Arabidopsis thaliana: one gene and its partner. The gene in region 1 interacts genetically with each later gene. Each region holds a gene or a part of one and is shown in the gene's direction. Other genes may lie near its edges.

What was found.
Region 2: of AT3G16270 (region 1) and AGD5, changing one enhances a phenotype caused by changing the other (phenotypic enhancement), as found in Arabidopsis thaliana (one study listed by BioGRID).

What each region holds. Positions count from the first base shown.
Region 1 is NC_003074.8:5,511,660-5,528,147, forward strand, and holds AT3G16270 (ENTH/VHS family protein), read left to right. Parts: upstream 1-1,613; 5' UTR 1,614-1,712; exon of another isoform or gene 1,713-1,841; 5' UTR 1,842-2,041; coding exon 2,042-2,248; intron 2,249-2,531; coding exon 2,532-3,269; intron 3,270-3,441; coding exon 3,442-3,597; intron 3,598-3,687; coding exon 3,688-4,617; intron 4,618-4,839; coding exon 4,840-4,881; 3' UTR 4,882-5,023; exon of another isoform or gene 5,024-5,273; intron 5,274-5,606; 3' UTR 5,607-5,947; downstream 5,948-16,488. Other genes in the region: TRZ4 (tRNAse Z4), read left to right, coding at 38-1,030, 1,112-1,459; AT3G16280 (Integrase-type DNA-binding superfamily protein), read left to right, coding at 6,642-7,406; EMB2083 (AAA-type ATPase family protein), read right to left, coding at 9,528-9,743, 9,836-9,892, 9,970-10,092, 10,185-10,263, 10,355-10,440, 10,535-10,693, 10,930-11,070, 11,198-11,362 and 3 more; AT3G16300 (Uncharacterized protein family (UPF0497)), read right to left, coding at 13,832-14,186, 14,265-14,548; AT3G16310 (mitotic phosphoprotein N' end (MPPN) family protein), read right to left, coding at 14,934-15,233, 15,380-15,491, 15,870-16,447. UniProt on the Arabidopsis thaliana protein: Mediates clathrin-dependent trafficking of vacuolar cargo from the trans-Golgi network (TGN). Promotes plant growth.
Region 2 is NC_003076.8:22,052,227-22,069,065, reverse strand, and holds AGD5 (ARF-GAP domain 5), read left to right. Parts: upstream 1-7,795; 5' UTR 7,796-7,999; coding exon 8,000-8,050; intron 8,051-8,867; coding exon 8,868-8,926; intron 8,927-9,013; coding exon 9,014-9,104; intron 9,105-9,503; coding exon 9,504-9,558; intron 9,559-9,644; coding exon 9,645-9,735; intron 9,736-9,852; coding exon 9,853-10,084; intron 10,085-10,350; coding exon 10,351-10,564; intron 10,565-10,698; coding exon 10,699-10,871; intron 10,872-11,096; coding exon 11,097-11,336; intron 11,337-11,445; coding exon 11,446-11,522; intron 11,523-11,635; coding exon 11,636-11,804; 3' UTR 11,805-12,080; downstream 12,081-16,839. Other genes in the region: AT5G54340 (C2H2 and C2HC zinc fingers superfamily protein), read right to left, coding at 1,501-2,235; AT5G54330 (hypothetical protein (DUF295)), read right to left, coding at 3,003-4,073; AT5G54320 (hypothetical protein (DUF295)), read right to left, coding at 5,152-6,261; AT5G54300 (cotton fiber-like protein (DUF761)), read left to right, coding at 13,724-14,321, 14,414-14,796; CcdA (cytochrome c biogenesis protein family), read right to left, coding at 15,143-15,218, 15,311-15,357, 15,460-15,552, 15,701-15,801, 15,887-15,959, 16,059-16,220, 16,449-16,480, 16,589-16,674 and 1 more. UniProt on the Arabidopsis thaliana protein: GTPase-activating protein (GAP) for ADP ribosylation factor (ARF). Mediates clathrin-dependent trafficking of vacuolar cargo from the trans-Golgi network (TGN). Promotes plant growth.

The sequences.
Region 1 (16,488 bases):
AGTCTCTCGCTTTCTCTCATTGATATATTGTGGGCAGTTCACTTTGCGTCCACATGGTAATCTTGGGGTAGACAGATCTAGTATCCCTAGTCGATTAACAGCTTTACGAGTGATGGATGAGCTTCTTTCAGAAATTCCTGAAATCAGCAGTAAGACCGAAGAAATCAAGCAGTTATGGAATGGACAACACAACAAGATGATGATCGAAGAGCCATGGCTGGGTGAAAGCACTGTTCCAAGCTGTCTTGAAAACATTAGAAGAGACGACATGGAGATAGTTCTTTTGGGCACTGGTTCCTCCCAACCCTCAAAATACCGAAATGTCACGGCAATTTACATCGACCTATTCTCTAGAGGCAGTATTCTCTTGGATTGTGGGGAAGGTACCTTAGGCCAGCTTAAACGAAGATATGGTTTAGAAGGAGCTGATGAAGCAGTCAGAAACTTGAGATGTATATGGATCTCTCACATCCATGCTGATCACCATACGGGTCTTGCAAGAATCCTTGCTCGCAGACGTGAGCTTTTGAAAGGATTGGCTCATGAGCCAGCAATTGTGGTTGGACCGAGATCGCTTAAGAACTTTCTCGATGCATATCAAAGACTTGAGGATTTAGATATGGAGTTTCTCGACTGCAGGAACACCACAACAACATCTTGGGCTTCTGTAGAAACCAGCCGCCCTGAGAAAAATACCAGTAGCGGCAATGCAGAGGGTTCTTTGTTCAGTAAAGGAAGTCTAATGCAGAGTATATATAAAAGACCGAGCAGCCCACTGACAGACAATTCTTCAGCTTTACCATTCTTGAAGAAACTGAAAAAAGTCCTCGGCGAAATGGGGTTGGAGCATTTGATTAGCTTTCCTGTTGTGCATTGCCCTCAAGCCTTTGGGGTTTCGTTAAAAGCAGCAGAAAGAAAAAACATTGCCGGAGATGAGATTCCGGGGTGGAAAATGGTTTACTCGGGAGACACAAGGCCTTGTCCTGAGATGGTTGAAGCTTCAAAAGGAGCAACAGTTCTTATACATGAGGTGCTTTTCTATATAAGCAAAACTGTGTAAAACATTTACATCTCATTCTTAAAATTTACCATCTTTTCAAACTTATAACAGGCGACGTTTGAGGATGCGTTGGTAGAAGAAGCTGTGGCTAAAAACCATAGCACAACTAAAGAAGCAATCAAAGTTGGATCTTCAGCAGGTGTATACCGAACCGTACTGACACATTTTAGCCAGAGATACCCAAAGATCCCGGTGATTGACGAATCACATATGCACAATACATGCATTGCCTTTGATATGATGAGTATAAACATGGCGGATTTACATGTGCTTCCAAAGATTTTACCTTACTTCAAAACTCTATTCAGAAACCAAGTGGTTGAAGAAGAAGAAGAAGAAGAAGAGACTGATGATGATAGCTTAATACGTGACAAAGTCCCAAGCTTTTTCATCAATTAGTATATAGATTAGAATGTTCTGTTTTGTCCCCTGTTTTTGACTGTGTTGTATTGTCTTTAGAAATAATATCAATTTAATTGATTTTTCCTGTGAGTGTGACAGAGGAAATAAATCAGTTTCATGTGCATAATGTGAATTGTGAAAAAGAAATTAAAAAAAATCGGAACTTTGGGAAATAAGGAAAGACACCGAAGAACACACAACCATTCCTCTTTATTGACCGCTTCCTTCTTTCTCTGTCACATACGAATCGGTGAGTTTTTTTCTTCTCAATTTCTCCGTTCTCTGCTGATTTCTCCGAGGTTATTGATTCGATTCCGCTTGACGCATGATTGTGTTGTCTCAAGGGTCTAATTTTACCTCCGCGTTGATTGGTTTATAGGGGAAATTTGGATCCCGATCGTGATCTTTAGTTTGGTGAATTTGAGCTGGAATTGGAGCTTAAAGGATCGGTTTTTTGACTGATCTAATTGTTTTGAGGATCGGTCTTTCATAAAGTTGTTGTCTTTGAAGCTTTTTTGACTGGTGAGGACGAAAAAGTTGTGATTTTGGGAATTAGGGTTGTTTTGTTTCGAATTCGCCATGGATACGAGCAGGAGAGCTGTGGAATCGTATTGGAGGTCGCGGATGATAGATGCGGTTACGTCTGATGAGGACAAAGTTGCGCCTGTGTACAAATTGGAAGAGATCTGTGACCTCCTTCGTTCTTCTCATGTCAGCATCGTCAAGGAGTTTTCTGAATTCATTTTGAAACGTCTTGATAACAAAAGCCCCATTGTTAAGCAGAAGGTATTTTCAATTACGTTTGTTTTCTGTTTTTGATTGTGAAATGTTGTTCCTTTGTGAGACATTTGTTTTCCATGAAGATTTTGATTGAAATGTTTGCATGTCGGGATTGATTTAGATTGTAGGTAGATGTTTGTTTTTTCTTAGAATGGATCAAAGAGAAAGCTTTATGTGTTTGATTATAGCGTAGAGTTTGTTTATAGGGAGACGTAGAATGGATCTTATTGTGGCTAAAAGCTCTGTAGGAACTGGTTATACTGATTTTGGTTATTATATGTATATACAGGCTCTTAGGTTGATAAAGTATGCTGTGGGAAAGTCTGGCTCAGAGTTTAGACGAGAAATGCAAAGGAATTCGGTTGCAGTGCGCAATCTATTCCATTACAAGGGGCATCCAGATCCTTTAAAAGGAGATGCACTTAATAAGGCTGTACGGGAAACTGCTCATGAAACAATTTCTGCTATATTCTCAGAAGAGAATGGTACTAAACCAGCTGCTCCTGAAAGCATCAACAGACGCATTGAAGGATTCGGGAATACTAACTTTCAGGTGCCCTCTAATGATAATAAATCGTTCCTTAGTGAGGTGGTGGGTATTGGAAGTGCATCTATAAAGCAAGGAATCAGTAATTTTGCTCAAGGCCATTTGCCAAAGAAGAATGAGAATGGCAGCAGCAGCTACAGAGGTCCAAATCTCCACAGATCATTAACTATGGAAAATGAGAACTTCAGTAGATATGATCCAGTTAAGCTGGGGAAGGATGGTAACTACGGAACGTCTAAGAACACGACTGGTGGATCTTGGGGCCACGCTTCCGGAGAAGCAAGTGAAAGTTCTGCTTCAGTTCGTGTTGAGAGCAAAACTCGTGAGGAAAAGCTGCTGGAAACCATTGTTACATCTGGTGGTGTACGCCTGCAGCCAACTCGTGATGCTCTTCATGTTTTCATTTTAGAGGCTGCAAAAATGGACGCTGTTGCTTTAAGCATTGCTCTTGACGGGAAGCTCCATTCTCCAATGTGGCAGGTATGTTTATGATTATTTCCTAGTCACCTCCTTGTGAAACTGTTTGATGCTACTAATGTACTTTTTTCTTGATTATATCATCTGTATTTTCTTTTCCCTGGCTTGTTTCTTCTGTAGCGTTAATCTTCCCACTTTTGTACTTTGAAAGTAACTGTGTTTTTCTGTTTGGCAGGTTCGGATGAAAGCTTTATGTGTCCTTGAGGCCATTTTGAGGAAGAAGGAAGATGAGAATTTTTCAATTGTACATACCTATTTTAGTGAAAACTTGGATGCCATACAGCGGTGCGCAGAGTCTCCACAATCTTCCCTTCGAGAAAAGGCGAACAAGGTAAGCTTCTGCTTGTTATAACCATTCACAAAACTCTTTTTTGGCATTATGCTAATTTGTTGGTTAACTCGAGATACCGATGTTGTGTAGGTTCTGAGCCTTCTAAATGGTGGACAGTCAAGTGGGTTGATGAGCAGCTCTGATAATACTGTGAAGCGAGAGGCTGCTGTTGATTTACCTGACTTGATTGACACCGGTGATTCAGACGATACTTTGAACAATCTGAATGCTATAGATACTGGCAGTACAGTGGCGACAGCAGGTCCATTGATGGATGATGATTGGTTTGGGGATAGCTCTGACATTGGACTGAGTAGCAGCGAGAAGAAAACTGATGACGACCCCTTTGCAGATGTCTCATTTCATCCGAATGAAGAAAAAGAAAGTGCAGATGACCTCTTCTCTGGAATGACTGTCGGGGAAAAGTCCGCTGCTGTTGGTGGTAATCATGTGCCTGATCTATTTGATATGTTTGGGTCAACTGCAAAACTTGAAGCAGAGCCAAAAGATGCAAAAAACATTAATGATTTGATGGGAAGTTTCTCCATTGACGAAAACAATTCAAATCAGAAAGGCTCGTCTTCAAGCACTCTTCCACAGGATTTATTTGCAATGCCGAGCACCACCAGCCACCAAGCACCGGAAAATCCTGTTGGAGGCATTCTTGGCTCACAAAATCCTGGGTTTATTCAAAACACAATGCTTCCTGGAGGTGTTATGCCATTCAATTTTCCTCAAGGGATGATGATGAATCCAGCTTTTGCATCCCAACCTTTGAATTACGCTGCCATGGCAAGCTTGTTAGCTCAGCAGCAGCAGTACCTTGGTAATATGTCCAACTTCCAGCAGTTCGGCAATCTGAACGCTCAGGGTAGCGGAAATGTTCTTTCTATGGGTACAAGTGGAGGGAATCAGTCCGCACTCCCTGATATATTCCAGCCAAATTTTGGTAATCAGGCTCCAACCTCAACAATGAATGGTTCGAAAAAAGAAGATACCAGAGCCTTCGATTTCATTTCTGTAAGTTTTGCCATCTTGCTCCTGATCTTTGATTCTAAAGTTTGGTCAATCTGCCATTTGTCTTTGTACATGTGACATCAAATCTCACACACATAATGTCTAGCTCGATTAAAACCACCTAAACATAGTCAGACTAGATCTACTTTTGTGGCATAGTTAAAAAACCTTCGTTTGATGTACATACACTCATGGAGCAACTACATAAATGTTTGTGTGATGCAGGATCATCTTACATCAGCCCGCGACACAAAGAGAGTATCTTGATGGTTGCTTACAAAATTCCGCCTTCCAGTGTTAAATGCTATTTCATGAGATGTGGACACAAGGGTGCAGGAAGCTAAAACATTAATTTATGAGAGCTGTATAGACTTGAGGAGAAAATGGAGATAGCTTTATAATTCATATGGTAAGGGTTTTTGCTTCTTTTATCTGTTTCCTCGTTTTGTCTTTGGTTTTTCTTCTTCTTTGGAGTCCATTGTTCTTGGCATGAACATGTAGTTGTAGAGTTGCTTTTTGTTTGTTACTAGATGTGTTTATTTTGTTCCGTTGCTATATATTATATCTGAAGAGACTTGTGTCTGTGTATCGAACGTAGACAAGAAAGGAAATGAAACTGAGAAAGGAAATGCATATGAATAGTTTAAAGACTTCAAGTCAAGTCCAGTTGTTTTTGCGTTTCTTAATTAGAAAATTTTGTTGATGGAGAAAAACGAAAGCCAGGGATAATTTTGTTTAATCGTGATGTCTGTTACAATTTGGAGTAGTTAATAAAATAAGGTAGATCTAATCTAAGTGGCTGCAATGAGCTTTTTTTTTCTCACACGTTAAACTTGGTCCATATTCTCAGCATTGCCTGTTATACTGGTTTGCTCATTTTAAATTGGCGTTACTTATTTTAGGATACATCCATTGGTCAAGTGTTTGCATTGGTGTAGATATTTTCATACGATAAGAAAGAAAGAAAGCTAATAATTTCTCAATCTATTTAGGTGAAACTATTCAGAGTTTGATTAATGAGAGAAAAAGGAAATGATGCCCCTTTATTTTCTTACCTGAAGTTTAATAAGAATGCATCTTTTGTGTACTTTCTACCAACGGTAAAGATTGAAAAAAATGGTGGAAGTTACTTTTCTTATCTTTTTAAAAAGTGGTAACGGGAAAATGACGAGTGACATCCTCATTACATAAATCCAATTAATAAGATTTTGAGGTTCCCATACTGTGTAAATATAAAAATAAAGAATGAATAAAAATACCTCAACGGGCAGATTGATAGTGACATATGGAAGTAACTTTAGACTCTCCAAGTCTCTCTCAAATAGGAAACGAAGGAGACATTGAGATTATTTTTTAGAAAGTTAATAAACGATCTCTTCTGTAAATCTTTTCTTTTTACATTCTCTGCATCTTTTATGCTTCTTTGTTGGCAAATCCATCCTCAGTTTTATTTCGTTTAAAAAATTATCAATATGGTCAAATGTATATTACATATAATAGGTGTAGATATATTTTTTTTTTTTTTGGATTTTTATAAAATCTTCATGATAATTGAAAGATGGGTAGGCTAAATGTCACTTAAAATGGAGCGTCTAATTTCATTAGTCAAATTAAGTATTTATTTTCTTTGATAGTTTGACACATTTCCACCAAATTAATTAGCCTTTGAAATAAGAAATAGTATGCTTGTTGACAAAAATTAAAAGAAAGAAATAGTCTAATTCCACCCAAAACAAAGAACAATCAAAATAATCTAAAAACAAGAACACAATAATAATAGTATGCAGTTGTAAAATCAAAATCACAATTTACTCATATGTATATGGAAAAAAATAAAAAAAATACTATACAGTTTTAAGAGTCTAATTTGGTACGATTGACGGTTGTAATAATTACTATTGATTCTCACATCCAAAAACCAGAAAAAAAACGTGTTATGTTTTTATACTAAAAGAAAGTTTATTAAAAAAAAAAACCTCAGAATCAAAGCTCTCTCATTAGCACTTTAGCAGTCAGTCTATAAATACATGTCTCACATCCACACAAAAAGAAGAAGTAAGTATCAAACGAGAGTACAAAAGATGACGTCACTCAACAGCTCTGCATCACCAACATCATCGTCATCAGACCAATCTGATGCAACTACTACAACAAGCACCCACTTGTCTGAAGAAGAAGCTCCACCCAGAAACAACAACACAAGAAAGAGAAGGAGAGATTCTTCTTCTGCTTCTTCATCTTCTTCAATGCAACATCCTGTTTACAGAGGTGTGCGGATGAGAAGTTGGGGCAAATGGGTCTCCGAGATCCGACAACCTCGTAAGAAAACTCGTATTTGGCTCGGCACTTTTGTCACCGCTGATATGGCTGCTCGTGCTCACGACGTCGCTGCTCTCACCATCAAAGGCTCCTCCGCCGTCTTAAATTTCCCTGAGCTTGCTTCTCTCTTCCCTCGTCCGGCGTCATCATCGCCGCATGATATCCAGACAGCCGCCGCAGAAGCCGCCGCCATGGTGGTCGAAGAAAAACTGTTAGAGAAGGATGAGGCTCCGGAGGCCCCACCTTCGTCGGAATCTTCTTACGTGGCGGCGGAGTCAGAGGATGAGGAGAGGTTGGAGAAAATTGTGGAGCTGCCTAACATTGAAGAAGGAAGTTATGACGAGAGTGTGACATCACGTGCTGATCTGGCTTATTCTGAGCCGTTCGATTGTTGGGTGTATCCTCCGGTTATGGATTTTTATGAAGAAATATCGGAGTTTAATTTCGTGGAATTGTGGAGCTTTAATCACTAATTAAGTTAGGAAAGTGCATTATATTGCAATATTGCATCATAGATAACATTTGTATTTCTTTTCTTTTTGTACGGATACGTAGCATATGCTACTATACTAGGGCTAGTGTACCAAATATTGTAAAATATACTTATTAATATTTATGTAAATGTGTAATATATATAACATACAATTATTGTAAGTTTGGAAATTGGAAACTATCGTTACGCAATGTTCTTGTACTTGTGAATCACAACAAACAAAAATGTTATTTAACTCTTCTTAAACGTATAAATTCCTAAAAGAGTCAATGGTCATTCTTTGTTTCTTCTCACCAGTCAATAACCCTCTTCTCCAATGCTGACTATAATTGATTTTAAATTGTTACAATTATTGTGAAGAAAATAGTTGGAATCTATGACAAGTTGACATTATTCTATAACTACATTCCAATTTACAAGATTGAAGATTATTAATCTAGGTATGTCGATTAGATAATTCCAGAAGCAAGAAATTTATATTATAGTTAGGTAACTGTAGGAGTTTAGGTTGGAACAAAATTTGTAATGATCAAATATGAGAATGCATTATAGAACACTCTAAAAATAATTCAAATGAGGTACACCGTCCAATCTTTTTTACTTATTTAATATTTTGACTAATTATATCTTCTTCTTTTTTTTTTGTGCACCAACATTACTAATAGAATATAGTTTATGTTTGCAAAAAAATAACATTGCTTCTGCTGTGAAAAACGTTTACAGTATAACCAACATAAAATCACTGTGGATAAAATGAAATTCCTTTATTTCGACCAACATAAGTACAGAACATTAACGGTCACGTACTTTTGTTTTGTGTTTTGGTCACGGGTTCATCCTTATTATAATTCATATTAAATTCCACTAATTCGTTTGTTTTTATCAAACTAGTTAAACTTTTGCCAACAAACCGAAAAGATCAATATTCAAAGAAGAAAAATGCATTTGAATTTTTAATAAAAGGTGGAGTTACAGTTCAGATTCCATAGTCACATAGCTCTTTATTTTGAAACTGTTACGTGATTTTTAGTCTTCTTAAACACGGGTTTTGTTTATTTCTTTAATATTTGAGTGTGTTTAATTTTAGCTTAAATATAGTATTTAACTGAATATGAGTAGAGATGGTGGTGTGGGAACGAGCAAGTCAAATACTGCCGTTGTGGACCTCTTTTCTTGTTGTCAAATTCTTTTGACGAATTCAATTTTTATTTTTTTTACCGTTGTTTAAGAAGATTAATAATTTTGGACACTTTATATGAGACAAGAACCCAAAGAAATCGTATTGAACCTATATCCAGATTATAAAATATGAGAAAACTATTTTTAACATATTAATTTCTGTAGTGCTTTGATAAAATTCAAATAAACGACTTTTATCATTAATAACAGTGAAGTGAATTGTATAGAACAATTATGTACGTAAGAGTTTTAAATAATAAAATTAGAAAATCGGTTGGGTATTTCGATTTTTTAGTAAACAGTACATGATGATGAGTCGGGTGGGTTCAATAATAGAGATTAAGCCATTAAGGTGGCCAATTACCAATAAGGAGGTTAAGTAAATGATTTGGTAAACGGGTTAACTAAAAATAAAATAAAAATTGGTAACACGTAAATATCATTTAGTTGTCAAATCTTGCAAGTCAAATGTTATCTGCTCTGTAATAATAATCAAATAGTTGTATGTATATCGACCAACCTAAGCACTCTTGATTTGATTCTCATCAATTTGCAATTTCACCTAAATACCTAACAAAAAGAAAAATCATGGATTAGCATGTGCCCATTGTTCAATGTCTTCCAATTTTTATATATAGCAAATTAAAATAATCCACATGCTCCACATAAGTTCATGACATAAAAATTCATAATCCTTTTTTCAAGATATGTGAAACAATTTAAAATTGACTATTGCTTCAATATGGATAAAAAGAAGTGTTATACTATATTGAAGCTCAAAGAATTATCTAACATGTACTATTACAAAGATTACAGAGGAAATATAGATAAAGGATCAACCTCATTGTCTCTATAATGGGTTTTTGATGTTTATTCCCTACGATTGTCACGAACTGTCTCTTTTCTCCAAATTACAATCATCTTATGAACTGTTTCTTGCGGTAGTCATGTCCAGTTTCAGCACCATCTCTTCTAGCTCAAGCCGTTTGATCTTCCTAAGTTCAAGGATACTCGGTGGCATTGGTTTACTGGACCCATAGAGCTCAACAAGAGTGAAGAATTCTTGTTTCGTTAGACTTTTCTTTTGAACCAGTTTCTCTACCACCTCGTCCATGAGCGTCCTGTTTCTTCCAAGAATCTGGTGTATGCGTTTGTAAATATATATTTAACAAGACCAATATAAAGGAGATGCTATGATATAGATGTAGTTGATTTAGAAGTCTACTTTACCTCTTTAGCACGCTCGTAACACATGTTCAATATCCGCAATGCCTCCACATCAATATCCTGCAAATCCATGTATCAGAAGATGATATCTGTTCTCTGAAAACTGAAGTGAAAACAATGTCAAGATATGGCCTTACGTTAATTCGATCAGCTACCCAGAAGTTATTCAAGCCATGATGCTTATCAGAAAGACCACCAAGAACCAATGATCGAGCAGCTGATCTTGCGTTATCCGATGTTTCAGCCCATATCGTGCTTAACTGTAACAAATCATTAGCAAAGGTTGGTAAACTAAAAAAAAATATGACCACAGTTATTAGAGAAGAGTAAAATGATATATCATATCTCTCACCTGATCCTCACCGTACCATAGTTCATCTGCAGCACGGGGTGCTAACTGAACAGTGATGTGATCCAAGATGGATTGTCGACTACATATAGTAGACCACCAAAGGACATATAGATTAACATAAAGAACCCGTGTAATCATGAAAGTAAATCTGTATGATGAAAGCCACAAACCTAAGCATGCCTTCCTTAAATTTGATATGATCCATCTTCACCCGGACATAACCCAATTCTCTACCAGCTCTAGGGTTGATTGTCAGCTGGTCAAGGTCATCGAAATGTCACGGTGCGGTAAAACAGAAAGTTGAAGCTTCATTCAATGTATGAAGGGGAAAAGAGATTTAAGAAACCTACAAATTCTATATTCTTCATATCAGGAAAGTTCACTGCTACAACAGCCATTGCAGCTTCATTGATCGCAACTTGTCGCCATGTCTCCAAGCTCCTGTCTTTTCTATCTAACATTCCTCTTTCTTCTATTTGTGCAGCTTGAAGCAAATCATCTGTTGTTAACTGCATTAGAGTTACAGAATATAGATGATTTCTCAGTCTTTTACTTGCTGGAATCAAAAATAGACTTCTAAACTTAATATTAGCCTAAGCTTCCTATCGAGCACAACATCCAATCACTTAATTTAATTCACACACACCATATTACCAGATGCTACACGATCCTAACATTTGAAACCAAACCCATCCAAAAAACAAGAGCAGATATAACTAATTTGAACTAAAAATATTGATCCCACCTCTGTTCTTCCATCACGCATCATATTAATTGCCGCGATCTCAACAATATTAGCAAGCTCTGCTCCAACCATGCCATCTGTCATGCTAGCAACTGCCATATAGTCTAAATCTTCAGCCATCGGCTTCTTACGAGCATGAACCTAAACAGCAAAACCAAAACAAAAATATAAATTTGGACCGAGGACAAAACTCTACTTTTAACCTCTTTTTTTTTTGTTGCAAATTTACAAGTTTAAGAATACATAAACACAGATACCACGCCGTTACCTGCAGAATTTCCATCCGTCCAATAAGACCAGGTTTAGGGATAAAGATTTTGCGGTCGAACCGTCCAGGCCTCACAAGCGCAGGATCGAGAATGTCTGGTCTGTTTGTGGAAGCAATGGTGATGACCTCTCCCCTTCCTTCAAAACCATCTAAAGAAACAAGTAGCTGGGACACAAAAAAATGAATAAAATTACCATCCCGTTATATAACGAAGAAAACTATTACACAATCTGAAATGTCTGGAACCTGATTAAGAGTGGCATCCCTTTCTTGTCCTCCAGAACCCTTTATTAACCCACGCTCCCTTCCAACAGCATCCAATTCATCAATGAAGACCACAGATGGAGCCTGCAGTGAGACCACCTTAAAATTAACATCCAGTAATAGACTAAATCCTCACTATAACAATGAGAATCAACAGAAAAGAAGCCAAGAGGTACTGCTTGAATGATCTCAGAAGCATCCAAAAGTGAGAATTAAGTTCTACGATCAACACAGGTATAGAAAGTTATTAGACTTACATTTTCTCTAGCTTCTTGGTATAATGCTCGGACACGAGATGCACCAACACCAACATATATTTCCACAAACTGAGAAGCAGAGATAGAGAAGAAATTGACTCCTGCTTCACCAGCTACAGCTTTTGCCAGTAAAGTTTTTCCGACCCCAGGAGGCCCACATAAAAGAATACCACCTAAACGAAAACAAAATTAAAGAAATGATCAAACAGCAGAATTTCATAGATCATATAACTTAACATCAAATACTAGGTGATATAAGGAAAAACAGAAGTTTTCACAACATTCAACCTGGAATCTTGACCCCTCTCCTGCGGTACATCTCTCCATGAGTAAAAAACTTAACGATTTCCTCAAGTTCAAGACGAATCTTCCCAAGTCCAGCAACATCTGTAAATTTGACATCCACACCTCTCTCAAGATACTCAGGTAACCTCTTATTTGATGCTCGTCTCACACGTGCACCTGACTTCATGAACTGCATCGCCATCTGTAAGTAAGGATTTTTCTCACCTGTACCTTCCTCAACCTCCTCATCCTCTTCCTCAATTCCCTCCATCTCCCTTTCCAACTCCCTCATTTTCTTCCTCTCATCTGCTTCCGCCTTCTCAATCTTCAACCTGTCTTCATAATCCTTCTTTTGCTTCCTATAGTTGAGAACCACCACACGGTAAAATATATAAAAGAATACCAATCCAAGAGCAGTAGCCACATTAGGATCCTGAGCCAATCTTGCCCACATATCCGCCATATCTCGATAATTTTTCCTCGCCTCACGCAGAGACTCCTCGTATTTCTTCTTCCTAACAGCCTTCCTTTTCTTCCTCTCCTGTTGTTTCTTCTGCGCCTTCATTGTCTTTTCCATCATCACTCTTTCCTCTTTCATCGTCTCAATCTCCTCCTTCCTCTGCCTCTTGAAATCCTCCCTCATTCTCTTCAACTCAGCAGCACGTTTAGACTCCTTCTTTGGCTTAACCCATGTTAACATATAAGCAGGAACTTTCCACAAAAATCCTAAATAAGGAGACGGCACAGGAGGTCTCTTAACCGGAGGAGTATAAGCATTAACACATTGTACATCAATCCCTAACTCATCCCATTGTTCCCAAAACCTCTTATTACCCTCTAAAGAAGGCAACACAGTCCTTAATACTCTAGAATCCTCCAAAACTACTAACACAGGCTCTGCCTTTTGCCGCAAACTTAAATTAGGAGGCTTTATCACATGCTTAAGCTTACCTTCAGCTTTTAAGCTCAAAATGTCAGTATAAGGTATACGATTCGAAACTACAGGTAAATCTTTGGACCAAGCTTTAAGCTGTTCAAGTGTCAAAGCCTCCTGAGGTTTCTTCTGAGTTCTCTTTCTCTCCGTTACCTTCGCAGCCGCGAACGACGGTTTGGCTAGAGAAGCGGAGATTATAGTGAGTGTGATTGGTATTGCGAGAAGATTGACTTGGTTTGTCTTGGCTTTGTCGTTATCATCACCATCTTCATGGACAACGTTCGTAGCTGAATTGTTTTGGCATGAGATTGAAGGGTAATTTCTGGGTAGTCTCTGACGATTTTCCGGTGAAAGGAATTGAGAAGGTGACGAAGAATGCAGAGGGAAACGACAAGCCATGATGTGATTCAATTGAAGTAGAGTGAATTTAACTTACATGAAGAAGTGAATTGCAATAAACCAAGCTAGTCGAGATAGAGTGATCGCCATTAAAACGTAGCAATGAGCTTCATCATTTCCCAGGCTAAAGGGATAGAAGAAACAGAACACAGAACAATCGTAATATAAAAAGGCTTCTTAAAGCCCAATAACAAAAACTTAGGCCATTTAACTCTAAAAAAGGCATTAAGAAGCCCAGACGCTAAAAACGAATCGAGACGCGGAAACCGGTCTGTCAGTGTCACTCATGTATGTGTTTGTCGCGGGTGATTTTGAATATTTTTTTTGTCGTGTATATGGAACATGGTCAACAAAATTCAAAACATTGAAATTCGGTAATATCGATTGAAACAATCAAATTCCAAAAAGCAACCCCATAACGTAAATGATTATTGTAATGATGAAAAACTTAATTAACGACGAGAAGTACAAGAGGGTAAAACAGTAATTAAATTTTTAGCGGTGGCGTGAGAGATGGAGAACGTCGAGAAGTGAAGAAGCGGCGAGGAGGAGAAACGCGAATAAGGCGAAGACGATGGAGCCAGCGAGATGGTCACAGAAGAAACCAAGAGATTTGCAGAAATTAGGAAGAGGCATGTGTCTGATTCCTGTTCTGTTCATATTCGTCACTCCTAAAGCTGCAGATCCTCCACTCACCATTGCGTATCCTATTATCTGATCTGCAACGAAGCAAAACCATGCTTGTGTTCTTGTCGGAATCACCGGAGATTTTCTCATTAGTCTTGTTCCACTTATAATCAGTTGAATCAACGAGTAAAGAACCGTTGCCGATGAAACCACAACTAGATATCTGTAAAAGAACCGTCAGTTTCAAAAGCAACGTGGAATACATATCACTGGTGATGTCAAATTTATGAAATATGCTTACATAAGAGAATCTGAGAGAGACCAAACGGCGTGGAGCTGAAACTCGAAGCCATAGAGAGTGGTCATGCTAGTCTCGCGTGCTGTTACCATTAACGTAACAGCCACCGTTGATACGGCCATGCACATGGCTCTTAGCACAAACATGGCCACGTCATTGCGTTTCCCGCCGCCGTGACGGTTATCTTCGCCGTAAGTGATGGCTGTGTTGACCACGTCGCGGATATCAAGCTTCGCTTCTGCACTCGCAACGGTCGGGTTTTGTTTCTGCTCTGCTGCTTTCGCCATTGTGAGTTACTGAGTTTTGTAATGTAATTTACATGCGAGAGGGGATATATAAACACAACAGGCTAGATACGTGGCTAGTTCCTAATGGAGTTTCTAAAACACTGCCCGTGAGGCTTCCATGGAATCAGTGTCTTTCTTTCAATCATTCACGAGGCATGACTAGTCTGCTCAAATACAAACAACAATGAAACGGCTAAAAGAGGAGATTTTAATAATCAGATTTATACCAAATTTTTAGCCGTCGTCAATACAAAAGACAATTTGAAACACCTCTTACAATTTTTAATTTTGACCACGCTCTAAGATTTACTTAGCCACTCTGCTCTCAAAAACTTCAAACTATGTGTAAAGAAGAATCATTCGGGAAATGCCATTGAAGTAGCTTTTAAACACCGAACATCAAGTCAAAGAACTTTGAGACCATTGACTTTGACGGAGAGGCCATAGCGCCACCACTTGGTTGAGGAGAGAAAGCGCTGCCGTTTTGCAAGTACTGAGGACGAGACAGGGGTCGAGCAGTGTTTCTAGTGGATGATGGTGGAGGTAAAGGCATGAATCCTTGGTTGTTGAGTCTCTCGTTTAACGCTTGCTTCTGTATTGGGTCTACTGGCTTCACTCCTACTATTACAACTCCGTTTATCATCATCCCTGCTTTGTTCAGCGCCTTATGTGCATCAGACCGGTTCTGTATCAAATACACAGACCATTGTCAGTTCGTTGTTTCCTTTATATAAAAGATTTGATTAGACTATCATGTATGATGACTCGTCTAGAAGAACTATGAATGCTTATCAACATGCATCAAACAGGTTTGAAGGGAAGAACAGTAACCTGGTAGAGGATGTGCATCCAGTTGGCATTTCTTGGACCAGGAACATGTTTCAAGACCATACCACATTTTTCAAACTCCCGTAGTACTAAATTTGTATCACCTGGAGAAAATCTGAAGGCAGTTATTATGATCAGTTCTTAAGATTGAAAAGATGGGAGATAAACACAAGATAAGGCACTTAATAACACTACCAGTTATTATCCATGTAAAGAGTCAGAATTCACAATGATCAAAACATAAAATCACAATCAAAGGCTGATATTTGAGCATCATGATGGTAAAGAACAGCATTTATTATGAACAGTTCTCTAAGATTGAAACATGGGAGACAGACACAAGTTAAGGCACTTAATAACACTACCCAGTACCAATATAACTGTTATCATCCATGTACCTAGAATTTCAGAGACACGAGAATGTTGACAAATCAAGAACATTTGCAACAGTAAAGTGAGAAAAACGAGAGCAATAAAGCTTAAATGGCCTTACCCATAGACAGTGACCCACTCTTCCTCATCAAGGTTTCCTGTAGGTATAATCTGCCTCTGAACCTCTGGCCTAGCAACTTCTCTTGGCGGCGGAAGAGTGACCAATGCACCTGGCTGAACCACCCCTTCTACAGGAGATCCCTTCCCTTTATCATCCTGCTCGGTACTACTACCTGCCTTTGACTGCGACCACCAACTCGGACTCCCTGAAACTTGCTGACTCTGTTGTGCATTCAGTAGAGAAAAAGAAGGGCTTGCTTCCAACTTTCCTTTACCAGGAGTTACAATATTCTTTCCAGAACTCTGGAATGGTGTTCTTCTGTCAGACTTAGCATCTGGAGACGCAGAGTAGTCTGCAATACCAGACTCAGGAGAGAAATCGGACCGGTCATCCAAAGTATACATTGGAGGTGGTGGAAGATCAGATCCTCCGAAATTCTCACGCCATAGTGCAGATACCGCAGCTGCCTGTCCCGGACTCGAGAATTTCCCTCTACGTGCTGAAACAGGAGAAGCTAAATCTTGAAATAGCAGAGATTGCCTCCCTGATTTAGGAGTCCTGTGTGCTGCAGCACTCATTTTCTACTCAATAGAGTTTTATTTATCTCCCTGCAAAGACA
Region 2 (16,839 bases), on another chromosome or scaffold:
ACAAACTCCAGCTATGTCTTAGTCAGCTTTACTACTTATTCTTGTTTTTTCTTATCCTGACTTAATGATAGATAGAAATTGTGTTTTGTTTCCTTAATTATGTTGTTTTCAGTTTCTTACTTTCTATGTTTTCTTTTGTTTATTTTCCTTTTTATTTACTTTCGATATACTTACTAATTACTAGGAAATACCCAAAATGAATACAATTTTAAATACTGATGGTGCATGAACTTTACAGAATACCAGTTTTGATATTCTTAAAAATGCATTTTCAGTCATATATATTTAGATGATATAACATGAATAGTTGACTATAAGTCTATAACGCCACATTTTTCTTTAATTAGTCTATGAAACTATTGGACAAATATATTTTCAACATACATTATTTATCCATAACGAATGACTTATCACCAGTTCACCACACATAATACGGTTTACTAGCTAGGTATTTATCCATTGTAAAAACGACTTTAAAGTTTTATTTGCACAAAACAATTTTTTAATAATTAATGTTCCATCATATTTTATATGAGACATCTCACAAACCCAAATCAAAATAACGCTGGGAAATGTAACCCTAGGCCATGAAGTGAAATCCATTCATTTCTAGATACAGACGATAGTCGTTGCAAGGATAGAGAACCCGAAATTTTCAATTCTGCATCACTCAGATACTTTCCGAAATATTTAAAATTCCAGTTTTGCAAATCTTTTGTTACCCAATTTTTCTAAGTATGTTAACCTTCTCTTCTTTTTTTTTAAACAAAACCTTCTCTTATCACAAACTGGAAACTGTAAGTTGTGAGTAGGACAACCTTTTATTATACAAGACTCTAGATTATATTCCATTTTTCTAAATATGGTTTCTTAAATTACATATTATGTATATAGGTTCAATAACTAGACGATATTCATTAACATTGATATATATAAAAAAGATAATTATCTTTTTGGTTAAAAAATCCTGAAAGATGATGACATGTGTTAAACAAATTTGGGAGATTACAACACTAATAATAAGATCGGAAAGACTAATATATTATAAGTTGAATAGATATAATGTCTCGTTAACAAAGGATTTCAAGCAAAACTCAGAATCTCTTTAAATTATGAAAGATCAAATTCGCTTACAAATAATTAGACCAGAAACTTGCAGAAATCTTTACAAAAATCATGAGATTTAGGCATTGAAAAATAAAAGGCTTCATGAAGTAATCAAAGATTGACAAATAGGAAAAGAGAACATTTATAAGACAAGAAGGAAACAAAAAGAGAAAAAAAAAAACAATTGAATGAAAAAAATGAGAACAAAAACTTCAATAGCTATAAGATACCTCTAAACTGAAAGCGAAATACTAAATAATGCATAGAAAACTGAAAAAAAACAAAAAACAAAGATACATTGATAATAATCACGACCCCAATATTCTTCTAGCTGATGTTTATCATCATCTTCAGGCACCCATGACTTTGTTCTTTCCCATTTGAGATGAGACTTTATGAGTGACTAGAGCCCGAACCATTCTCTTGTAAAGAAAACGAATCATGAGAAAGATTGATGTTTAGATGAGGAAAAGTAATAGAAGGAGGAATGTTTCTAGAGATTGAATCAAGGGGGTTCCCAGCAACAAAATGGTATCTAGACACACGAGGACGAACGGGAATGATCAGATTCCCATCGAAGGATGAGTTAGTGTTGTTATTAATGATATTGTTGCTATCTCCTATGGACTTAGATGGACCAAGAGTAAGATCAAGATTAATATCATCAGTTGATAAAGCATGTGAGCTATAGTTGTTCATGTTCATATCTGTGGTTCCTCTAGGGACTCCAACATTAAGCAATGGGTTAACGTTGTTGCTGCTGCTGCTACCTTCTATGGACTTCAATGGACCAAGAGAGAGTCCAAGGTGATTATCATTTGATAAAACATCTTGTGAAGACCCACCAAAGAGCAAGTTAGACTTGTCTTTGTTAGAAAGCCTTGACTCGATCTGTTGCCTCTCCAATTCTCGGTCCTCCTTGTGGGTGGTTCCGTGACCGCCAAGGGCATGAGGGGTTGGGAACGCTCTCTTGCACAAGTAACAGATGTAGATCTTATTATAATACTGGGGCGGATTGTTCACTGTCTCCTTCTCCTCCAGGACCTCCATGGCCACAACGGAACTTTTGAGTTTTTGATCATGTTTGTGTGTGGAGGAGCTTGATGAAGACATAGATTGGTTCTCCATTACAATTTGTTTTGTAAAACTTAATTTGCTGAGAGTTAGAAGTTATGTCTTATCTCTTTTTTGTTAGATTTATGCTATTTATTGAGTAAACTATTAATTATTGTGTTTCACTAATTTAAGGTATGAAATCTCCAAAGGCAAAAACAAATTAATTGAAACCACAGAGTTTTAGTCTTTCTCTTCTCTAAAGTGCTATTTCACGTACGTGTCAAAATACACCAATTTAAGTTATAGTTCAATCAAAATTTAAATATCTTATATTTGCACGAGTGTTTGAATATATAAATTTTAAAAAAATATGGTTATTTCTCTAACCATGTTGATTTTACTCATTTTGTCTTCCAAAATAATAGTTTTGTGTGATACATGTACCAGTTGGCTTTGTATAATCTGAAATTTATCTACTCATTTAAAAATGACTGAAGCAGTCAGAGAGTCTCCCAAGCTAAGGGTTGAGTCACTCAAAATACAAAGTTAAAACACTCAAAAATAACAAAAACAATTGGTGGAGGATTCAAACCAAAAATATAACATTGTGAAATAATACAGTTCATATCCCCTGATCTCAAGTAACTTACTCGAAAGCAACAAAACGATTTTGAAAGGCACACACATATGAATGATTGCTGCTTAAACACAAGTGCATGAAAGAGTACTGATGAGATATGCATATCAATCTCACAAATAATTTATTATTAAAAAAAAACATATTAATCTGATCTTTGAATAATTGAAACAGGAAAGAATATTCCAAACTATGTAAAGTGCTAGTTGTTCATATTTGGAGGTGGAATATGGAAAGGAGCCTTAAATGTAGAATTACCACCAATGAAGCGTAAATTATCCAGAAAGAAAAATCCTGCTTCGTCGAAATCATAGATTATAACCTGGTTAGAGGGGAGACCTGGAAAGGAACTAGCAGGGACACAAAATGGTTCAGATTTTGAGAGGTACATGCAGAGATCTCCAATGTCTTGGGTGTAAACCGCGTTTCCTTGTTCGTCAAGCTTGAACACCATCAAAGCTTCGGTTCCCATTTTCGCAACACCATTGACGATCTCAGCGGTTCTCTTGTACCACTTAACCAAGAACATTTCACCACCAGTGGATCGTGATTCCACCAAGTGCTCGCTTGTACAGCAAGAATCCAGAAGCTTCCGTGTGGTCTTTGCAAGATTGGGAAACTTTTTAAATCGCAGCTTCTGAATCTTGGGTGTGTGCATGTGTGTACCGAGATCCCATGATCCAATGAGATGGCCTCCAGATCCGGGAATGCGAAACATGTCATCTTTCTCCGAATACATGACACTGGAGGAGTAGAAACAGGGGTTTGCGATTCTGACGTTGATCCACTCGGGTTTACGTTGAGCTGGTCTGCAAAAGCTGAGCTGAGGTCCTAAGAACTTGACAGCCACGACACAGTCCTCATCCTCGGGAGAAGATGAAGACATTGACACATTGGTGACGATTTGAGTTTGGCAATGGGGCAGAGTTACAAGAGGAGGCAAGGGAATGCGTTTAGGGTTCGTATCCGATGCAGCCGGGTTAAAATCATCTTGGAGACGCAATATACCGTCGTCCTTCAAAGTAGCTACCCAACCATGGGATGACCCGATCGTTACCATGGGATCACTGTGCACCAACTCTAGAGGCACCTTCTTTTCCAAGCAAGTGCGTCGAGACATCATCATAACATCGAGTCTCCCGAGATGATCAGCTCCACAAGGTTGAACGCCGACGATTGAACAAGGAGGGGTTTGCATCAGAGAGGATCTTACCAGTACAGGTTTCCTCCGAAAGCATAGTAGCTTCAAAGGTTGGTTTAGAAGCAGAGACATGCGTAAGAGATGTTGTTACCGAAATGCAAAGGCTGCAAGAGATTTAGATTAGATTAAGAAAGTATTATACAAACCCTAGTTGAAGAATAAATAAGTTTATGCGGTCAGTAGAACCGAAATTTTCTCGATTTGCTTTGGTTCTGTTTAAAGTTGTGATTTGACATGATTTGATTCAACACTATCTCTATAAATAAAGATCCAACGCAATCTTAATTAGATTTCATTTTAATTACGATCAAACCCTTCAGTAATTGTTCTTTTCCCCCATGATTTCATTTCCAAAAAAATGTTGCAATATTAAAGTAGCTAACTAAAACTCACAACAAATAATGAGTGTTGCGATATTAACGACCAAAGCAACGACTTTGAGGAATCCAACACTCTTTCAAATGACTCGTTAATAATAAAAATAAAAAACATTATAGAAAATCTCCAAACTTAGAGAGAAACTAAAACACAAACCAATTTGATATTTTTTTCCCGAGTGATTCGTTCTTAATTTCTCTTTGATGATCTCTGATTTTGTAGTGAATCACCTCCATGGGTAGTGAATCACGTCCATGTGTTATTATGTGTATCAATTAACTGCTGTGTGAGGGTATTATGGGTCTGATTACCTTTAAAATTCTCTTTCCGATTGATTTGGGCCGGTAGGTAAATTTTTCTCTTCGTTTATCAAAAGGAAGAAAAAAGTATTTAAATTTTTGTTTTTCTCAGTTTTTCTTTTTTTGTTATGCTCTGGATTATTTTTTACAATGCATGTGCCATTGTTATGTGAGGGACATGATGAAACAGAGACATCAAAATAATGGGGATTTTCTGATATTTCCTGAAAGAATGATGCTTGTGAAGGATGTTGAGTGGTTACTAGATATGCTATAGAGAGACACACAAAGGTAGTAGAAAAGAACCTGTTGAAAACCAAAAGCAGACTCATGATGTAACTAAGCAAATAGAGATTTAGGATGGAACTAAACAAAGGGTTCCGTTCCAAGATAAAACTAGTGACCATTACCAATGATGACCATGGTAATAATATAGGAGAAGAAAAGAAAAGACTCAGTTCCAAACTACGGTACTAATCTAGTTTTTGGGGTGGCATAAGGTAATTGCTTTTGAATGATGTAGGCATCACATCAGTAATGATGGTGGAATCATCCAGATCGAAAAAGCCGCCTTCGTCACAGTCAAAGAGTATGACATTGTTAGGGCACAGTCCGGGAAAAGAGCTAGCAAGGACACAAAAAGGTTCAGACTTTGAAAGAAAAATGCAGAGATCTCCAATATCTTGAGTGTAAACCGCGTTTCCTTGTTCGTCAAGCTTGAACACCATTAAAGCTTGTGTTTTCATTTGCGCAATACCCTTGATGATCTTGCTTGAAGACTTCTTGTACCACTTAACCAAGAAAGTTTCACCAGCTGGTGACTCAACCAAGTGCTCGCTCTTGCAACATGAATCCAGTAGCTTCTGTTTGGTCTTTGTCAGCTTGGGAAGGTTTTGAAACTGCAAGCTCTGCAAATTATGCTTGTGTGTGCGGAGATCCCATGTTCCAATGAGGTGTCCTCCAGATCCGGGAATGCAAAACATGTTATCTTTCTTGGAGTACATGACACGAGATAAGTAGAAACAAGGGTTTTCGATTCTGATGTTGATCCACTCGGAGTTACTTTGAGCCGGTCTGCAAAAGCTGAGCTGAGGTCCCAAAAACTTGACAGCCACAACACAGTCTTCATCCTCAGGAGAAGATGCGGACAATGACACATTGGTAACGATTTGAGTTTGGCAATGAGGGAGAGTTACAAGAGGAGGCAGGGGAATGCGTTTCGGGTTAGTATCCGATGCAACCGGGTTTAGATCGTCTTGGAGACGCAGTAGTCCGTCGTCCTGACTCAAAGTAGCTATCCAGCCATGGGATGAACCGATGGTTACAAGTTCATTATCATACAACAACGCCATAGGCACCTTCTTATCCAAAGAAGTGCATTCATCTTCATAAGGATTCAAAATCACGAGTTTTCCCTCTTTCGCAAGTCTTCCACAACGTTTAGCGCTGACGACGAAACAAGGAGGAGTTTGCAGCAAAGAAGATGATAAGCCATCATTAGAGAGAAGAGGAGATGATCTCACCAACACAGGTTTCCTCCGAAAGCATAGTAGCTTCAAGGGTTGGTTGAGAAGCAGCGCCATTGATAAGAAGTGTTTTAGGGGAAAGCGAGGCTGCAAGAGAATCAAATAAGAAAGAGTAAACAAAACAAAACCCTAGTTGTTGAGATGTTCACATAAATAACCACCAAGATCCGATACAATCTTAATTGGATATCATTTTAATTAACCACGTTCAAACCTTATTATATGAAGTTTGTTTCTTCGAATATATTTTCCATATACTTGATTTAATTATAAATACTTATTTACATAACAATACATACTCCAGAATCAATATCCTCAAATTTTAGAAAAACAATGTGAGATGTACATGATTGAGATAAAGCTTGAAGCTAAGTCTGATTAAGAAGAAATTAAAGTTTGCAAAATGTGGGGAAGTCTCTATACGTGTCAGAGGGTTTGAGATCTGAGAATACTTGAAGAGAGGCTATGGAGAGTAATTCGAGAAGCAAAAATAAGCAGTCGTCTATTTACTATATGAGAAAAATCTTCCTTCTAGATGTGCAAATATCCTCCTGAAAAGTTGGTCCTCGCACTGATAACAAAGAGAGATGGCTATGATGATCATATATTTCCAAGCTCATCCCATCATAATCGCGACGTCACATCCCCTAAAAAGCATATTAATTGCCAAAGTTGGTAGCATAACTCTCTTCTAATGGCGACTTAAAATGGAAATATACTAAGTGGATCTATATATTTTCAAAATTGGAAAGTATATATATGTGGATGAAGTTAGAGAAGTTAGAAATTTCAAAAGGCTTTGGGATTATATTTGTGATAACTCCCGATGATATTCCACATACAGATAAGTAAAGGTGCTACTTAGACCAAACCGATTATGAGGTTTAGAGCCAGCGAGAGACCACTTCTCATTAGACTACAAAACTTTTTTAGGTTTATTCACACACAATGTATTATAGTTCCTAATGTATACCTATTAAATTAGAGTTTGTCGAATGTTAGGATTATAGTTCGTATTGACAAACAAATATCAGTTTGAAAAATTAGGAATCTAAGAGATAATAATATAATTATTTTTTTGGGTTTAAATTGAAATTTGTGTTGGTTGGAACATTCGTTGACTCATCGTCACATCAAATAAAAATCTTAGCAAATAAAATATGTCCCATAAACATCACATAAATAAACAAAGAAATTGGAATCAATACAACAACCACTCCAAAGTGGATACAGACATAACAGGTGATGAGATGGCCATGTGATTTATTTTCCACCCGCAACACTCTAATGCTTATATATGACCAATCAAAAAAACCACTTAAACCGCCAAATAAACCGACCTTATTTTTGATAAATCAAAACCCACTTAGTCACAAATTAACCAATTTTATATGATTACACTTTCACAAATATTCATGTGTAGATTTCTTTGAAAATTTTCAGGTGCTGCAATCACGAGTGACCGAATTATTTTTGAAAATTTAAACCGAAATGAAATTAAACCGAACCATATTCAATTTTGAAAATGAAATCTAAAACCGGATTAATAAACCAGTACCATAATCTGAACGGTCCAAAAAGTATTGACCCATCTCTCTCTCTTGGTCGCTCGTTCTCAAAGGGCAAAGAAAAAAGGATTTTTAATTTTCGGAGAGGAAGAAGAAGAGAGAGATATTGAAGAGCGCTGAAGGCGGAAAAGACTATTTTGACCTCGTCGTCTCCGTAGATCATTTTTCTTCAGCTCTTCTTCTTCCTCTTTCTCCGATTCTCCTTCTTTTGATTTTATCTATCCGCCATGAACGAGAAAGCCAACGTCTCTAAGGAGCTTAATGCCCGCCATAGAAAGGTCTCTCTCTAATCTCGAATCTCAGATTCTCTTATTTTATTTTCTCCGAGCTTTGTGGATTTGTCGTCATATATTTGAATTTGGTTGCCAACAATATATGATCGATCTTAATTCGATTGGATCTGTGCATTAGCAGCTATCCTTCCTTCATTTTCTTCGGTTTCCTCTAGTTAGGAGAGGATTTGTATCGTCGATCCTTATCTTCTTCGATCGATTGAGCTAGAATTATTATTCATCAGCAATGAAAATCAGTTTCTCTATTTCGATTTGTTGTCTAGGACAATAGTTGATCACGATCGGGTTTTTGAATTGTTTTATATTCAACGTCGGCTTATTGAATGTTACAGTTTCATGGAGCTTGAATTCTAGTGTTTTCCTATAGAAATTCGTATTCAATTGTTTGATTTTGGAAAGAATCGAACACAGGGATCCAAGGAGCTTAGCGTCCCATAGGGATTTTCATTTGTGCTTGGTAGTCTTTGAGTTATTTGCCATGTTGAAACTATTAGTTGTAGTTGGGATAGCTTTGTGGGATTGGTGATGCATACATGTATAGGATATTAGGAATGATGTTGTATGTCGAGTCTTCGAGAACTTTGGTGTTCATTCATTGACGAAACTTATCTCATACTGCAATGAGAACTTTGATTCATTTTGGTTAGTTAAACATGTCAATTCTGATAATTTTGAAGTTTTCTTGAGATACTCTATATTTTGTATGTGTAGATTCTTCTTTATGTTTTGCGACGTATGATTTTTTCGTTTATGTAGTCTATTGCTTGAATATTCATTTGATTTTGGTGCTACTTATCTGCAGATTCTTGAAGGGCTTCTTAAACATCCAGAGAACAGAGAATGTGCTGACTGCAAAACAAAGTATAGTTTTCTACCTGATGTGAATTTTCAGCATTATTATGCTGGTTCATGTATGTATTTGCTAATACTGTTCCATTTGCTTTGCAGAGGTCCAAGATGGGCTAGTGTTAATTTAGGTATCTTTATCTGCATGCAATGTTCTGGGATTCACAGGAGTCTCGGGGTACACATATCGAAGGTAGTCTCTCACTTTCCTTTCTACATTTGTTTTCTTGATGCTGCATTTTTTTACGAAAGCTCAGATATTAATTCGATGAATAACTCATTCCATTTGGCTCAAATTCTCTGCACAAATTTTCAATTTGGTTTTTGTATTAGCAATTTCATTTTGTATTTTCCATCACAAGAGCTGGAAAGTTTGACATGAATGCATTAAATCTCCCCACCTTCTTGTACTCCCATTGTCGTCGATACAGTTTACACACGAACTTCAAGCAACTCTGTGCAAAAGTACATGATTTGATTTCGCCCTCTGATTTTTGTATGAGCCGTGTCCTTTTGTCAAGTAGATGTTAACCTTAGCAGCATAAGCTACTTTATTTTCTACCAAAACACCTGACTGGGCTAATGAGTGCAGGTTCGATCTGCCACTCTGGACACATGGCTCCCCGAGCAGGTTGCATTTATACAGTGTAAGTGTCTTTTAAACTAAATGCTCTATGGCTGATTCATGGGTTGTTACGCAATGTAAAGTATATAATCTTTTATTTGCATGCAGCAATGGGAAATGATAAAGCAAATAGTTACTGGGAAGCAGAGCTACCCCCAAACTATGATAGAGTTGGAATTGAGAATTTTATACGTGCAAAGTATGTATCTCTCTTTTTCATTATACAAACTTTTCAGTTAGTTCCACCTCATTGAATTGTCTATCTTGCTATTCATATGGACGTTGAAATCATTCTTATGACATATGACTTTTCTAGGTATGAAGAGAAGAGATGGGTTTCTAGAGGGGAAAAGGCTAGATCACCTCCTAGAGTCGAGCAGGAACGGCGGAAATCTGTGGAGAGAAGTGGGCCGGGATATGAGCATGGACATAGTAGTAGTCCTGTAAATTTGTTTGAGGAGAGGAAAACTATTCCAGCATCTAGAACAAGAAATAATGTTGCTGCAACGAGAATAAATCTTCCCGTGCCTCCCCAAGGACCCAGTCAGGTACCAAACATACTTCTCAGAAGATCTGTATAACTAAAGAGCCATACCTTTAGTTACTCATCAGTATTAAGGATCCGTATTCCTTGATCTTATTTAATAATCTTAGGATATCAGCTATGAGATCATTATTTTTGTCAATGCATATGCTGTAGCTGTCAGATCATTATTTTACTCACTGTGTTTTTAGAGCCTCATAATCTGTCAACGTGTCTTTCTTACAGTATCCAAACCCTGGTTTTTCTGATACATGATGCTAAAAATGACAGGTTATAAAGCCACAGCAGAAAATGGAGTCTGCAGCTACTCCAGTAGAGAGGGAGAAACAAGCAGTAAATGTTGCACCAGCATCAGATCCTCCAAAGGTGGATTTTGCTACTGATCTGTTTAACATGCTATCAATGGATGATTCGACTACAAATACCTCAGAGGCAACTCCTGGCGATACTCCTGCCGATGATAACTCATGGGCTGGCTTTCAGTGTATGTATCTATCTAGCATGTGATAATCTAACATCGTGGCACATTTTTCCTATCCTTGTTAACTTTATGTCAATTGTTCTTCTTTTGAAAATGCTTTGGAGTAATAGATTAATTTCTGAATCCTAAAACTGTAGCTGCTGGAAGTGGTCAAACGGCAGAGAAAATTGTCACAGCCAAGCCTGCTGAGAGCAGTTCTCCTCCAGCTTCATCTTCTGACTTTGAGGATTTGTTTAAGGACACACCTAATTTAACAACTCAACAAGCACCAAAAGATGTGAAAGGCGATATCATGAGCCTGTTTGAGAAGGTAAATTATTAGTTAATTATATACGCTTCTCAGATTTCACTGCTTTGTTGATATTCAGCTTTCCAAGTTTCGTTTTTGTATCATTATTTAACTTACATTTACAAATATAGCGAATGATATGATTTGTGTTTTGTTATCACTTACTATGATTTCTTCAACACGGGACATTTGGAACACCAGAGCAGATTCAAGTGATATAACTCTGTGTGTTCTATTTGATTACAGACGAATATAGTATCGCCTTTTGCCATGCATCAGCAACAGGTTGCTATGCTCGCTCAGCAGCAAGCCCTTTACATGGCTGCAGCGAAAGCTGCTGGAGGCACTCCAAACGGCGTGAATCAACAAGCTATTGCTAATGCTCTTAACGTAGCTTCTGCAAATTGGTCAAACCCCGGCGGCTACCAGATCCCCGGAATGACTAACCCCGTAGGTGGTCAAGCTGATCTCCAGAAACTTATGCAAGTAAGATCTCCCCTTTACTTTTTTTAAGCAAGATCAATATTACCATTGACCAAAGTTCTTGCAAAATTCTCACTAATTCTTGCTCTCTGTTACATCGCCATAATTTTAGAACATGAATATGAACGCAAACATGAACACGAGACCCGCACAACCGCAAGAGAACACTCTACAATACCCATCATCCAGGTATGCACACAAAACTGCATCTTGTTTGTTTCTTCTGAAAACATCATAACGTTATCAAAAGTGCTTAACCTAACTAACTCTCATATGATCTTTGGTTGTTATTAATAATGCAGTTTCTACACAATGGGTCAAGCTAATCAAGTGAACGGTATGACCCCAAACTCAACCGGTAAACCTCAGTCATCATCCGCAACCCAACCAACAAGCACCACACCATCTTCACAATCAGGCAAAGACTTTGATTTCTCTTCCTTGATGGATGGAATGTTCACAAAACATTGATCAAGAGAGAGAGACTTTTTCTGAATTTGCCTTTACATCTTTGTTCTAAATTTGAAGAACCAAAAGAATATATATACAATCATCTCTGGACAGTTTTTCTCTGTTAAACATATATTTTCTTTTCTTTGGAACTGTGTTGTAGCCGAGCTTTGATTTATGATTTTACTCGATTGTCGAAAAATTAATAGATGTAATTCTTGCTAAGAAAGGAAAAAAAAAAAAGATTTATCGGTGAGACCGCCACAAAACGTGGATTGTTCTCTTCCACTTACTGCTTTTATTTGCTTTGGTACGAAGTTTGTGACATACCAATTTTTTGGAACTAAGCAAAACAAAGAAACGGTTCCGAAAAGCCTTTGAAAGAAAACAAATTAATCGACCTTTATTGGTAAGATCAATAAAGGCGACGTGTTGATATTGAACTTGTTTCTTGTTATGGGCGGCTGTTTTAGCGTTATAAAGTTTTGAGTTTGGCATTGTCGGGCTTTCGGTCAAATGGCTTAAAGCTCATCCTCCTTCTTCACCACAAGCTTGTGTACCTCCCACTAGCCAACCTTTGTTTACCTTTTTCGTTACAAGATGTTTTATTAGCTACAAAATGCAAAACTGTAATCAATGATGACAACGTAAATCTGTAAATACCATTTCTACAAATCCTCGCTTGATCACAAAGCACAACAAATGAAGTTGTGCACTACATTGTATTTAATTATATTATTTTCTTGCATTTTTTTTGGTTTTCTCTTACACGTACATCGTCCTTGATCTAATGCAAACATAAACTAAAACACCACGTTGGACTTTAGCATTACTCATTTGGTTATTATAACAAAAATACCATGTCGGACTTGTACCGACCTTAGGGCAGAAGTTTAAAGTTTAAGTTCTATTATACTATGTAGAGGATATAGCCAATATTTATGATGCATAAGAAGATCAATCAGTATCAAGTACAAAAATCCAAAATGGTCGGTAGAATTTTGTTGTGCTTGTTGACCCGTAATGCGATATATATCTTTCGTGAGTTTGAATTGTCAAATCAAATCTACTATTAATATAAGCACTAATATGAAAACAAAATTGAACGTTTAGCATTGAGAATGATATATACGTATGCATCTATCTCAATTATTTTATGTTACAATCTGCATGTCCTTATCTAAAACAGTATTCACATGCATCATAATTCGCATTCTCACTATGACTTTCAACTATTAATTTTACAATGTCAATGAAAAATGGCCTACATTACCTAAAAATCCTAGCTCAACAGTAACTACTTTGTTTTTTTTTGCTAGCAACCATAACTTTTTTACAATTATATAATTTTACAATAACAAAACCAAAAAAGAATATTTCCATTTACAAATATCTTCTAGATCGGCTAAACTCAAATTAACACTAACATACATAAAATGAACTAATGAAGACTCGAAATTTCTCCCCAAAAAAATAAATAAAATGAAGACACAATCGACTAAATTTTTTGTTGCCAAGTGAAAAAACAAAAATCAACGGTACGACTTGGTACGTAGGTGGCAGATTCTCGAATCTCAAATTCTCTAATCACACACAATGCATAAAATATTGTACTTCTATTGTCAAAATCTTGTTGCAAATGTTAGGCAAGCTTATATTATAAGTTTATAACTTAAAACGTCAAAACCCAAAACTGACACGTGTCACTCAGATAAGCCTCCATAACCATACCCTCAATAAATAAGGCCCACTTATGATTCTGTAAAAAGCCCACACAAACACGGACCACATTTTTAAGAATTTATAAATTTCACCGTATCTATATAAATCCACACATCTCAAAGCTTCTTTAGTTTATTTTCGTAGATAAGAACCACCGAACTAACAAAATTTGAAATTCCCAAAGCAAAAACAAATTACATCATTCAATTCAATTCTCAATGCCTCTTCTTCTCCCTACCTCTTCCTTCAAAACGACGGCCACCGTCGTAATCGCCGGCGTTTCATCTATTGCCACGGCGATGATTCTCACGGTCCCTTCCGTTTCCCATTTCGTAGTCTCTTGCTTTCCGATTATTTACGATAACACCGTCTTCCTCTTAAAACCACCGTATCTTTACTTAGTCATCAACTCTATCATCGTCTGCATCATCGCTACTTCTAAACTCACTCATAAATCGTCCTCCGTCGATGACTCTGAGATCTCGGAAGTAGTGACTCCAATACCGATACCGGTACCGGTTCATTTACCTTCTGATATCGATTCCGGTTATTTAAACGTGGTTCATGTGGTTTCTGATTATACCGGATTTGTTGAGAAAATCGATGACGTGTCGATTAATCCAACGGTGGAGGCTATCCGGAAGTTTCCAGAAGTTCAGGAGGCGGAGAAGTCGAAAGAGAGTAGCGATTCGCCGGAACCGGAGACGGAGAAGCCAAAATTGAAGAATGATTCGCCGGAGATTTCGATTCTGAAGCACAGTACGAGAAAACCGCCGCGATTTAATCAGCAAAAATCTCTTAAATCTAATTCAGAAGGTAAAATAATTTAGTTTTTTTTGCTCGAAATTCGAATTTTCTGAGAAGGGCAAAATCGTAAAATGACGGAGGAGTTGTCACTGTTTATACAGGTGGAAATAAAAAGACGGCGTTGGGAGTGACGAAGCCACCGAGGAGACAAGACACGCTGGAGACGACGTGGAAGAAGATAACGGAAGGACGTTCAACGCCGTTAACTAAGCACTTGACTAAATCCGACACGTGGCAAGAAAGAGCTCACGTGCAAAGCTCACCAGAAAATAAGGAGAAGATGACCAAGTCCGAGAATTTAAAGGACATAAATACCCCCACGGAGGAGAAGACGGTGTTGAAACGCGAGCCGTCGCCGGGACAGGAGGAGTTGAATCGGCGCGTTGAAGCGTTTATAAAGAAGTTTAACGAAGAGATGAGATTGCAAAGATTAGAATCTTTGGCTAAATACAATGAAATGGTAAATGGAGGGACTCGTTTGTAAATTTTCGTGGTTTTTGCTTAGGCGTCGGTGAAGGAGAAAAATGACGGCACAGTCGCAAAAGTTGACTTGACTCTTTTTTACAACCACTTAAAAGAGTTTTTTTTTCCTTCTTCCGGGGAACAAAATTTCAAAATAATGCAAAAATTGTGTTTATGATTGTTATGTTTCTTTTGGGGTCGAGACGTTAATCGTGTGGTTACAAGTGAAGGATTATATGTTAACAGTAGTGAGTAGTGACTAGTGTTCGAATCTGTTTTCTTTTGTAATTTTACATTATAAACAATATTATTTATTTACTATTACAAACACTTTGTTTTTGGCCGAAATGAGTTTGTAAGTTAAGTTTTTACATGACCATAGTAGCAGCAGGAAAAAGCCTATCCAAGAAAGTATATAAACCTCCTCCAAGTAGAAGAGCACCACTGAACCAAAACATAGGAAAAAATGGAACCGAGATTTAGTAAATCAACAATATGAAAAAGCAATAGCCTATAATCATTTATCTTTAACATACCTTATGGGATTGATCCATGCAGAGACCTTTCGCAACGAAAGTAAGCTCTGAAGAAATTTTAAGACGAGTAAATACGCAGTTAGTTTCATTACTGTAAGAAACTTAACTAAGAAATTTGCATTTCGCTATTTGGTTTTAAAAGAAACTACCTGTAAAGCTCCGGCAAAAGAAGCAGCGACGATAAGTGGAGCGACGTAACCTGTTGTATAGGTTAAGAGTAAGCTTCCACCAATTACTGGATCCTGTTTTTCACATTTTATCCATATCAGCTTTTTGCTAAACTTAAACCGTTTCTTAAAAGCTTGAAAACAAAGCCGGAAAGTTAACTAGCTTTCATGTTCATATTTGAGATAATGACATTTCAAATGGAAGGAGACGAAATGGAGTTACCCTGGAAGTAGCCACGTAACCAAGAAGAGTGGCTAGAACTGGAGTACTACAAGGTGAGGCAGCAAGTGCGAATGTGAGACCGGCTAGATATGCTTGTACACCTGACAGAACATTTTGTTACCAAGTATAAGAAACAAGATTTAATGACCAAAAAACCATGAAAGTTTTGTGTGCTAGGAGGTTTACTAGATGGGAAGTTTGCTGCTGCAGCACGAGGATCAAAGTTGTTAAAGAAAGAAGGAAGCTGAAGTTCGATTATCTGTAGGAAATACGTCATGTTAGACATGGCCATTATCTAATGCATTTTTCCATTCTGATTGATGCAATATGAAAAAAGAGTGATTGTAGCAAAAATTACCTCAAGGAGATTGAGACCCATTACAATAGCCAGACCGGATGCAGCTACTGGTAATCCTTGTCCTATTTGTCCATAGGCTTTTCCGGCAAAAGAAGCTACTATCCCAAGAAGGGCTAAGGTAGTTGCTAATCCCAGTGCGAAAGCAACTGTATCTCCAATAACCTAAATGCATGAAGAACTGAAAGGTCACTAAAAACTACTATACTTGTGAATGAAAACATGATGCATTTGATTGGACTGGGTCTATTGTTCCTTTAACGGAGCTTTGATTTGTTTACAGGAACTCAACTTTAACTTCTTTTAAATTTTGTCAATCTGCAACGACAATGATCCAACCAACTCCTAAGGCGACAGCTATTATCTAAAAATCTGTTCTGAAGAGCCACTAACCTGACCTCTGCTTTTGCCAGACCCAAATGCACCTATATGTTACAGCCATATGAAGGACAGGTGAGGAAAGAATTAGAACATCAAACTAAGATTCTAAATAACTTGTGAGAAATGTAAAATCTTGAGATAAGTTATCATACCAATATAACCAAGTGTCAACGGCAAAACACTAAGTGTACATGGAGACAGACTTGTCACAAGGCCTGCCCCAAATATTACTGCCAAACTACAACAGGGATAAATTAGCAGGATAACCTGATGGTCAAGGTCTCAGAAACGCGTTCATTGAGAGAGAACCCGAGAAACATACCTTGTTACACTGAGTGCTGATAGTTGATCTTGAACAGCTTCGTTAGCCTGTTGGTTAGCTGAATACAAGAAGTTCCCGACC